Bombyx mori: one gene and its partners. The protein of the gene in region 3 interacts with the protein of the main gene of each other region in a biochemical or structural test. Links are inferred from orthologs where the notes say so. Each region holds a gene or a part of one and is shown on either strand. Other genes may lie near its edges.

What was found.
Region 1: the proteins of Ubc13 (region 3) and ring box protein form a complex in vitro, tested with the Homo sapiens proteins (5 studies listed by BioGRID). The link is inferred for Bombyx mori from reciprocal best matches to the Homo sapiens genes UBE2N and RBX1.
Region 2: the proteins of Ubc13 (region 3) and ubiquitin thioesterase otubain-like form a complex in vitro, tested with the Homo sapiens proteins (6 studies listed by BioGRID and IntAct, with this or other methods). The link is inferred for Bombyx mori from reciprocal best matches to the Homo sapiens genes UBE2N and OTUB1.

What each region holds. Positions count from the first base shown.
Region 1 is NC_085119.1:7,172,420-7,175,509, forward strand, and holds ring box protein, read right to left. Parts: upstream 1,654-3,090; 5' UTR 1,595-1,653; coding exon 1,502-1,594; intron 1,410-1,501; coding exon 1,382-1,409; intron 1,317-1,381; coding exon 1,195-1,316; intron 1,118-1,194; coding exon 1,032-1,117; intron 871-1,031; coding exon 858-870; 3' UTR 524-857; downstream 1-523. UniProt on the Homo sapiens protein: E3 ubiquitin ligase component of multiple cullin-RING-based E3 ubiquitin-protein ligase (CRLs) complexes which mediate the ubiquitination and subsequent proteasomal degradation of target proteins, including proteins involved in cell cycle progression, signal transduction, transcription and transcription-coupled nucleotide excision repair.
Region 2 is NC_085118.1:933,366-937,675, forward strand, and holds the start of ubiquitin thioesterase otubain-like, read right to left. Parts: upstream 2,824-4,310; 5' UTR 2,731-2,823; coding exon 2,623-2,730; intron 2,526-2,622; coding exon 2,226-2,525; intron 1,509-2,225; coding exon 1,287-1,508; intron 453-1,286; coding exon 342-452; intron 27-341; coding exon 1-26. UniProt on the Homo sapiens protein: Hydrolase that can specifically remove 'Lys-48'-linked conjugated ubiquitin from proteins and plays an important regulatory role at the level of protein turnover by preventing degradation.
Region 3 is NC_085111.1:2,343,228-2,346,598, reverse strand, and holds Ubc13 (ubiquitin conjugating enzyme E2), read right to left. Parts: upstream 1,907-3,371; 5' UTR 1,681-1,906; coding exon 1,225-1,680; 3' UTR 545-1,224; downstream 1-544. UniProt on the Homo sapiens protein: The UBE2V1-UBE2N and UBE2V2-UBE2N heterodimers catalyze the synthesis of non-canonical 'Lys-63'-linked polyubiquitin chains. This type of polyubiquitination does not lead to protein degradation by the proteasome.

The sequences.
Region 1 (3,090 bases), on a different chromosome or scaffold from region 3:
CCAGCGTCCAGGACTAGAATGAATCAAGAGAAGCCAAAGTGTAATGTGAACTGAACCTTGAAATTTGCTTGCAAATTTGTGGTATTGATTGTTGGTTGTTTGTAAATTTCTTGTTTATCTCCAAAATTGAGTAAGCATTTTGTACTTTGACTAATACTTCTCTTGATTCTAAGCATTTTTTAAAATATCTGCCAGTGACTTATATGAAAAATAATATTTGTTTCTTTACTATTCATTATTCATATGAAGTATTTTGTGAAATATTTACAAATGAAATGGGGTTTGGATACCAATATTACAACAGACTGTTAAATGTGGTTCACAATATTTTAGAACATTGAAACTTTCATTTGGTATATCATAATGAGCCTAGTTTTATGTTACTAAGGTACAGTATAGTAATAATATTTTGCTAGTTATGGCTACTAGCTTTTGTGATATTCCCTGGGAATGGGTATAAAAATCAGAAAAGTTCCACAATGTTAACAAATTAGTGACTGTAAAATAATAATTAAATAAATATCACAATAAAATGCCTCTGAAAATTCTTTTTATACTTTATTGAGTAATTTATGTAATTTTTATTTACCTTGTAATTTATAACGTGCTTGCAAGAATATCTTGGAGTGACTTGCTTCCATTAAGTAAAATTTTTATTTATAATCATAGGAGTTTACTATTTTTATGCCAGATTATTATGAACAACAGATTTTCAACGAATTTTCAATTAAAATTCACATACAGAATTTTGTAAGAGTTATTTTATTATTACAAACTTAATAGATATTGACATGTTAATTCCCTATGTTCAGAAGATGTCAAACTCCTGTGCAGGATGCAGCTCTTCTAAATGACATTTAATGACCATACCTGTAAAAATATAAATATATTATTAATAGAATATATCTTGTCTATATTAAATGTGAACAAGTTTTGATACCTTATCATTGATTTATTTACCACTCAACCAATTTCAATATTAAAGTATTATACGGAATATATGGTAATATATCTTTATAAAATGTACTTGCTTTTGGAACTCCCATTCTCTATTGTCTAGTGGACAAACTTGTCGAGTCTTCAACCAACGGGAAATACAGTGGAAATGGAATGCATGCTGTAACAAAAACAAGCAATTAAATAAATTAGTTTTGAGTCAATAATGATTGTGTTTTCCAAAATTGGTACTCATACATTACAAACACCCCAAGCAACTGTGCATTCTTCACTAGTGGCTGAGGCTTGATTTGCTTGGCATTCGATACACAGATCCATTATGTGATTTCGGCAAATAGCACAGTTGTCGACAACAATATCTGGAAAGCAAAATCATGTTCAGAACGATGTAGAGGTTACGAAACTTTATTATCAAGAAACCTACCCCAAGCCCAGAGTGCTACTGCATTCCACTGTAACAAAATTGTTTACATTAAAACTAGAAACAACAAAGAAATTTTCAATATTAAGAGCTCAACAATGAGTTTGCAAAATGGCACCTCACCTTTTTTACTTCGAATCTTTTTTTATCTCCTTTGCCACTACTAGACGAAGCCATTTCAACTTCTTCTTCATCAACATCCATCACAGAAGCCATTTTCAAATTAAACTACCCCGTTTTATTAAAAAATAACCAAGAGTTGTTAGGTTGTGTATTATGTTTTTGACAGCTGAATCGAAATTTTAAAAACTTCATGTTGATTTGTTTTTTGACGTTTTTGACATTATTAGTGTTACAAGTACCGAAAATCGGCTTTTTATTTTGAAGATTATGGCCTGGTATCTAGACCTTTAGGCCAAAAATCGGCTTGTCAGATTAACAATGTTGCCAAGTTGTTAAATAAACTTTCCCGAAAAATCGTTTGTAATTAGAGGAATTAACATATTTCACTAACACCCGACTTTTCTATATAGTGCATCCAGATATGAATGTGTTCACCTCATTGTGTTTCAAAGTGTTATTTATTATACTGTATTTTTAAATCTTATCTATCTAAATCTTATTAATTATACGGTATTTTAATAAAATAAAAAATATTACAAAAACTATTTAAAAAAAACACTACATAAAACGATTATTGTCGCCGATGGCGGTGTCTACGACACAAGCTGTTAGGTCTCCAGAGTGAGAAACTTCCTCACAATATGCGCCGTATCAAGAATGACTGATTTTTGTACCAGACCCCAACCCAGCTGGATAACGAAAATGTTCACTATCAAACTTTGTACTGAAACTACTGGAACAATGATGGTTGAATCAACATGCCACATGGTGATAGTCTCGTGAATGAGGCCTAAATATTTTATTAATTTGTCCTTTCCTGTCTTTACTAGGTTCTCGTCATGAGGATGGTGATATCAACCAAAATTGCTCGATGTGCAGACCAATAACAATAACATGCTTATTGGCAACAATAGACCTATCCATGATAATAGATCGATTCCAGTAGAGCGTTACATGACCATTTTTAAGAATTTGCTGCTGAGGTTGGTATTAGTAATAAGGTACAGCAGAATCAACTAAGCTATATTTCAGAGCAAGCTGTTGATGGATAATCCCAGTCACTTGATTATGTCTATATCTTATTGATAGTGCTCTCACCACGATTGTTTATTTTAGTGAATTTCGCCTTTTTGTAAAGCGCCATGATCACGGTATATAAACCATTAATCACAGTAATTTTTTAATTTTTTTATTTCTCTCAATAAAAGTTGCAATGGTTTTGATGCATGTCTCCAAGCGCCGTGCTAATTTTTTAATGCCTTTCTTGAAGAAACCACGTGCATTGGAGCTAACAAACTCTTCAAAGACATTTTGTACTGCCTCTCGGGTATTGTATTTTTTCCTTGCAAAAAGAATTGTGCAACTTTGGAAAAAGTAGAAAGCTGTTGGCGCAGGTTCTGGTGAGTGGTGGATAACGTAAAACATCTAACCCTAGCGCCTGTAGTGTAGAGTCTGTAGGTTGTGCCATATGGGATCGAGCGTTGCCGTGTCGGAGCAGCGGGTACGAGTGATTAACCAAGGCTAGCCGGAGATTCGGAAATCTCCTCCATCATTGTTTCCAGTTCTTCACAGTTCACATAGTGAGTGGT
Region 2 (4,310 bases), on a different chromosome or scaffold from region 3:
CCCTCTGGAAAATCATGTGCTATCACCTGCAATAAAAAATTTTGACATTTACTAATTACCACATTAGCAAGTAGAAAAAATATGCTCTTCAATTACTTTTTTTAACACGGTTCTATTTACAAAACATAATAGAGATTAGGATATTTTTAGTTTTCTGTGAAACTGGTTATTCTTTTGGTTGAACCAGAATTGAAATGAAATGAATGAACAATTTTGAAGTAGGTACTTTACTACTGCTTTACAGATTTAAATATTTTTGCTTTCAATTTAAAATGACATTACAATTTGTAATTAAACAATTAAATTTTTTTGGTAACTAGCATCTAAGTTTTATTGCTCACCTGGCTACCTTCACCCCGATCCATGTACTTCACTCGGACGCACACCTTGAGTGCATTACTCAATGCTATGATATGGATATGGTCAGACTCTTTGTACATCGGTTCCACTTCCTGCAATAACAAATTAAAAGATCTAACAAAAATATTTTTGAATCACGGTTCTCTTTCCAACTGAATGAACCTAGGCACCTGCATGGTAAATGTATACGATACTACAAAAATAATTTTTTTAGTTGCCCTTTTAGGAAGACGAGCATACGGCCCACCTGATGGTGAGTGGTTACCGTCGCCCATAGACTTCAGCAATGCCGGGGGCAGAGTCAAGCTGCTGCCTACCGTTAAGCACTCTCCACAATTCTCATTTGAAGAGGGAAATGTCATAGTGCTCGGGAAACATTGTGGAGGAGAGCTCAATCCAAAGCCGAATGGTATAGAGCGCTCCCTATGGGAACATACGGTCACCTTTTTTTACATAAACAAATTCACAACATGTGGTTTGAACCATAATTTAAGTAGAATCTGTTGTTTATACGCATGGGACCAATTTCAAGACGAACTATGTCAGTGACCATGAGCAATAACAACAATTTCAAGTCTAGTGCACTATACTATTGATATAAAAATATTTTGGGAAAAAATACAATAACCTTGTTGTCTCTCACAAAACAAATATCCACAATCGTGTTTATTACATTTTATTATTATTCTACCCTCAAACACTAAGCCTGACTACTATGTAGCAGAATCACAACAGTAAGTCAGAAACTTTATTTTAAATTATGTTCCTTTTTGAGGAGTTAACTTGCACATATGTTAGAAATACAAATAATATCAAAATACCACATGGTACAAAAAGTTAAGTGGTTACTGAAAACAACCTAAATGCTGCAGCACAATCCTTTTATTGTAAATAAATAAATTGTAAAACATTTATGTCATTGTTACCTGTCTACAAAACTCAGTAACAGTGCGTGGTCCTTCAATAAAATTCTGATAAAATTCTTGGTCTGTCTGCAGCTGGCCAGATGTAATAAGACGAAGGTACACCACTATGTAATCAGAATATCCCTGCTTGTTGAACTTATCATGAAGCTCCATACGAACTGTTTCTATCAAATCCGGAGTAGAACCAGCATGTTCCCCTACTCTTTGGATTACTTCCATAAACTGCAAATTATAATTTTAATTAGATTTGTTGTTTTAGTTTACATTGACAAAGTTGAATGTCTTTTTTTAAATTATATTTTAAATAAAGAAGTCTGCAAATTAGTCTAAAGAAGTCTGCAAACTATTAGCTACTTGATATTAGGAAAAAGTCCAGATGACATGAAGACAGTGTGAAGACTTCAAGCGTGTAGATCAAGTCTCAACTCTATAGTATCAAGGTATCTAATTATATGGTCCAAGTATTACTTAGAAACACTGTCTTCATCAAACACTTAAAATTGATTTATCCTAATAGCTTTTATATTCGGAAATATTTTTGGGCTTTCCTGGTGTTTAGATAATAAGCTTTGTTATATTATGCATTGTCTACACAAGCCATTAAGATCTTGCCTATTCCAGTTTAAGGCAGTCACCCAGGCTTTATAAACATTTGTGGTTTTTTAAAACTGCTTAAACCAGCCACGCTTTATTGCCCCCAATAATTTTCAATCAAATAATTATGCTAACCTCCCTTTCTATTAAATGTTATAATATTCATGTCTGACTTATCTTCGATGATCTGACTATTCAAATCAATACTCTGGTGAGTTTTATGATGATTAACAGCGAAATTTTTATTTTCTGAGAAAAAACCATAATCTCCGGTCAAGGCCTCGCGCGCAACCCGTAAACTTGAAACGTCCTTGTCAACAAAACAAAAAGAATGTTGCAACTTACAGTTTCGTAAAAATCTTCAACGGTGAACTGCGAAAACCCTAAGGCGACGAGAATATCTTTAGAATTTTTTGCTATTTCGTAAAACTTATCATATTCCTGCTTATCAGTCAGTAAGCGTTCCAAATATGCGTATGAGAACGCGCGAAAGAAACAATTGCCATCGGGACGCGTTCGTCTAATGCTTTTGTATTTCGAAGACAAATCTTTCACTTTGAGCAAATAAATCGGATCCTCGTTATATTCTTTCTCTAAAGTCTGCAATTCTTCAATTTCACCAACCAACGGTATTGTTTCCGATATCTAAAAACAAACAAACAGTAACGTCAAATTTCAAAGTATGTTTTCAGTGTGAAGTATGGTTTTAGGTAGTTTTCTGGTTATATATTATATATATTACCTCTTTTTCTATTTCACGTTGCTGTTTCATTATCAATTCATCTTGATTAATTGAATTTTCAACCGTATTACCGGTAATACCGCTACTGCTTGATGCATCATCCGCCATTTTCAAATAACAACTGACATATGTTTTGACAGAAAATTGCAACAAAACAAATGACTAAAATGACATTCGTTTACCGTTCAGAAAAGTTGATTGACAATGTCGTCGGCAAATTAATACAAAAAGTATCTACTGTTAAATTCCTTGAAATTAATAATCTACGTAAATGAAATCGTAGCCGTGCTAATCAAACCCATGCACTGATACAAATACAGTTGTAGAAACCTAGGAATATTGAACCATTTGGGTTTAAATACCTACCTACTACATTGCGTCCGTGCTCACCGATTCGTTTTCGTGAAACTAGAAGGACAACTATCTTTCCAAAAAAATGTTACTAAATTAAAACGAAGTCTAATAAATATATAAAATGAAGTATAAATAAAATATATTAAATATAAAATGAAGGAATTGAAAATAAAAACATAACATAAGTTTATATTTAAAATTTATTTACCATTAAGAAATAATGCCATAATGTAACCAGTTTTTTTCACAATATTTTATATTAGATGTGTTATGCTATCGATTTTGTATATTCCCATACCAAAACGATTTACTTGCGATTCATGTAACAGTTGATTCTTGCAACATAAAAGCCATAAGGGCGGCTCCACTTGTTGTACCTACAAAAAAATTGCTGCTGTAATGATGTTGCAATGTTACACCAATACAATCTAGAAATAGTTAATTAATTTTTATATTAAATGAAAACGATCATGTAATCACAATTTTTTATTGATAGATTAAATTAAATGACTAATCATCTAAAAATTAATCAAAAAAGTCGAGCTAAAGTAAGAAAATGTTTGACGTTGTTATATAAAGCTGTTAACGCCTACGAATTTCTAAGGAGCAATGAACAAAATTTTATTTATGTTCACCGACACAATTTTTAAACACTTCAATTAATGGCCGTGCCAAGCTAACTCATTCGCAACGTATTAAATTAACAAAAACCTGTATAAAGGAAATACAAGCACAAAATCGATTGTGGAAGTTTTATTGAGAAACCCAAGCATCCAACAAAGGCCTATTTGTTTTTATCGGTGATTATCTGTCCTACATTTCAACCCAAATGAAGGTAAATATAGGACGTTTTTTTTTACGTTTGAGCAACAATTTATAAAAACAAGCTGTCCAATTGCATTAATCAAACTGGTGGGTTACCTCGGTAGTTTTCCAATTGCAGCACAAGAGCGCATTATGCGGCATAATGCTAATACAGGTAGTTTTCCAATTACAGAGCATAATGCGACTCAGTGACGCACAATGCCGAATTATGCTGAAGCTTAGTTGAGCATTATGCCGCATAATGCGCTCTTGTGCTGTAATTGGAAAACTACCCTCATATTGAGCATTCCTATAAAGTACAGTTCTACCTACACATTATACGAAAATATGTATAGTCACTGATACCACTTTAAAAAAAAAACCTTTCCGTATTGGCGGGAACGCGATGAACGAAGTTGTGTCAATTGTTTTTTGTTAATTTAATGTTCTTTCAGTTTAAAAATGCAATAACCGTGGTTTATTAAAGTGGGCATTTGTGAAAGTGGATAAATATGGGAAAATGAAACAAA
Region 3 (3,371 bases):
TATTATGGTCTAAAGCACTTATGAGCTATTGGTGGCTTACGACCAATATGTCATCACGGTTGCTTAATTCAATATGAAACAATCATTCAATCAACATTTCTGATATTACATTTTCGTTAAGTTGCAATGACAACTGTTCAGTTAACTTGTGTCTTTACTTAAATTTCAATGAACTAACAAACCTATACCCACTGACTGATCAATGGATAAGCACTTTATTTCTAGTTGAAATTCAGAGGTGTAGAGGTGAATTCAAAAAGATGTTAATTTTTCAAAGTTTGTTTTGTAACTGTTGTTGATAGATTCTTTAAACGTAATGACAACCATCATGCCTATTGATGCCATAAAGCAATCACCCTTTACTTAGAAGAGTTTGATAGCCATTGGTCCAATGTATTCAATATTATAAGAGCATGTTGCAAGGTATCAACGCGATTCCAGTAAATGCTTTTAATTTGTAAATTGCTACTTGAGTTTGGCCCTTATTTTAATTTAATGAATCCTATTTTGTGATGGTATTGCACTAAAAATAAAATATGGGTTAGCTTTTTGTATTTCATGTATTTTGAAGTTGCTCACGAAGCCAAATTAAAAATTTACATAAATACAATTTATTTTGATAATTTTTATACAAGACGTAAATAGTACAACATAAGATTCACTGTGAAATCATGTTCGATGTGGTTAATAAAGTGAAAATTATACCTAAATGCAATCATTGTTCTATAAAAAAAAAAACAAAAAACATTTCAATGAGAGATCAGTTAAATGATGTTACAATCAAATTTTAGTAAGACTGTGTCCGATAAGTCTCTGGCATAGATAATCAAACTTTGCAAATTGAAACTATCTTCTGTACAAAATTAATTTTAAACCAGCATAATATATACATTGAAGACTCCAGGTATATTTTCTTTATTCACTATTCATATTAATAGTAAAAAAATATGCATACCTAATATTGTAACCAAGCTACATGTGAATGGGTAAACAATGATCTGTGGGATCGCCTAGCCGTTCCGAGGCGAACAAGGTGAGGCAATGGATAACTGCAAAGGGACCGGCGCCGCGGCCCTCATCCACTAATAATAAAAATTTGATCCACAATAGTCTCTCACAAGTTACTCTGTTTAGGATGTGTAACATAACTTGCACTCATAAGTCGTGATATCTCGTTGGTCGTGTGGCGCGCACGGTCGGCACCGGTGCTCTCGTGCCGGCTATTCAGTTGTCCATGGCGTATCTCCGCGTCCACTCCTTCGCGTTCCTAATAGCTTCACTCTCGTTCACCTTCCACAATTCGGCAACGTCGTTCGCCAGCGGATCGTCAGGGTTAGGTGCTGACAGCAGAGCCTGAATAGACAGTAGCACCGTGCGTATTTGTAGAGCTGGACTCCATTTATCTTTAAGAATGTCCAAACAAATGCGGCCCAGTCGGTCTATATTAGGATGATATATTTTCGTGATAAACCTAACCTTAGGTGCCGACATGGGGTAATCCTCCGGTAGAAATAATTCTAATTTGAACAGTCCTCCTTCGAAAGGCGAGTCCTCTGGGCCCGTCACGATAACGTGGAAGTAACGGGCGTTTGTCTCGCTAGGTACTGCGCTGATCCCGGGCACCGGCTCCTGCATCAATCGCTGTGTCTCTTTGATTATTCTACGTGGTAGGGCTGCCATTTTAAATATGCGGTCGAGCGCAGTTTGTCAAATGGAAGCGATTACTCATATAATTGTATAAAATATCTAATTATATTAGCACTGAATGTGTTAACGACGCTTGTTGAGGCACGTTTCCTTATATTAATGAATTACAATAGCATTTTATCTACGAAATTGCAATAAACGCGACTACAAAAGCGAGTGTTCTTTAGTTTTTTTTAACCACAGATAATATAGATTTTCACCAACATAGACAAAATGTAGAATTTAGAATAGGGTGCGTTCAATATAGATGTCTGGAAAAAAGCCTTTTAAATAAACATGCATTAGTTTAAGACAACAAAAACAAATTGTTTATTAAAAGAATAAAATTCTGTACTAGGTTGAGTACCTGGGACTGAATAGGAATCACACAACATTGTTATACAACTTGTGCCGTGTTTGAAGCCTGCTAAAACTAACTTGTCTTGTTATACAGACTTCAATCTATTTAGAAGAAGGCGCAAAAGAGCTTATGAAAAAAAAGGGAAGAATGAAAGATGTCAGTAATAGAAAAATAGTAGAGAGGAAGAACTGTATTCAGCCCTTAATATAAAATCCAAACAGGAAAGCGTGTTTAATTGAAGAGAACCTACATGAAAGTTGTTAAAACTGTTTCGAAAGTTTCGGAACTTGTTTTTTATTATATTTGTGTTTTATATGCTTCTGAATCTTACGTTTCTACCGAGAGTGAATGGCGCACATGATTTTTTAAAAATGAGAGTTACAGGCTGTTCAAAATTTTATGAAACGTATATTTTTTATTCAGCTGACAGAAAATGATAAATGTGAAAAACGTAGGCTCGTAAACAAATTAGTATTTATTATGAACCTATTGTGAAAATGTTATTTTAATGAACAGATCTAAATAAAATCACTTAGGACCGCGGTCAGCGACATCTAATACAGTTTTAAAAATGACGTGATGTCAGCTACTCGTCAACAGATGTCTAATTTTGTTTCATTAAATTTAGAACATCTATGTGTAGAATCTTCAGTATTAAGACAAATTCTCGTTATCAATGACAAATAAGGTTATTATATCATCGATATATTATAGACATATTATATTTAACTTAACTATCTTAATATGGTTGTTTAATATTTATATGACTTAAGTTACAAGGAACACAATAATAGTATGAGTTACCTAAGTGAAAAAGATTAACTTTTTTTTTTTTTTTCCTACCTAAGCTGATAGCCCTAGCGGCTATGTCAGCGTAACCCTAACTTTAGTAGGTGAGCTCACGGGGCTCAAACCTGACGATGTTGCTAACACGAACCCTAGCAAGAGTCGTGCTTCGCAGAATCTACCACCGGATCGGAAACGCGACCCACTGAGAAGATCCGGCGAGAAACTCAGTGGGCTGTGTCTGAGAGTTAGTTTACTCGTCGAGCCCTTCGTCGCAAGCGACGGGTTCGACGAGAACGGTGACCGGTGCTTGAAGTACCTAAAAGCACCGTTAGTGGATCGGGAGGATCCGAAATGACGTGTAAAGATTAACAATAAAGATATACCTAACAACTCAATGTTTAATAAAATTCTTCTTCCTCGGGTTCTAAAATATCTGTATTTCGTAAGGTCTCCAACGTGGGACGACCTATGTAACATTCATGGAAAATATCCGGTATTAAAGGGAGCAGTGAAATAAAATAATTTTTTTTTCTAT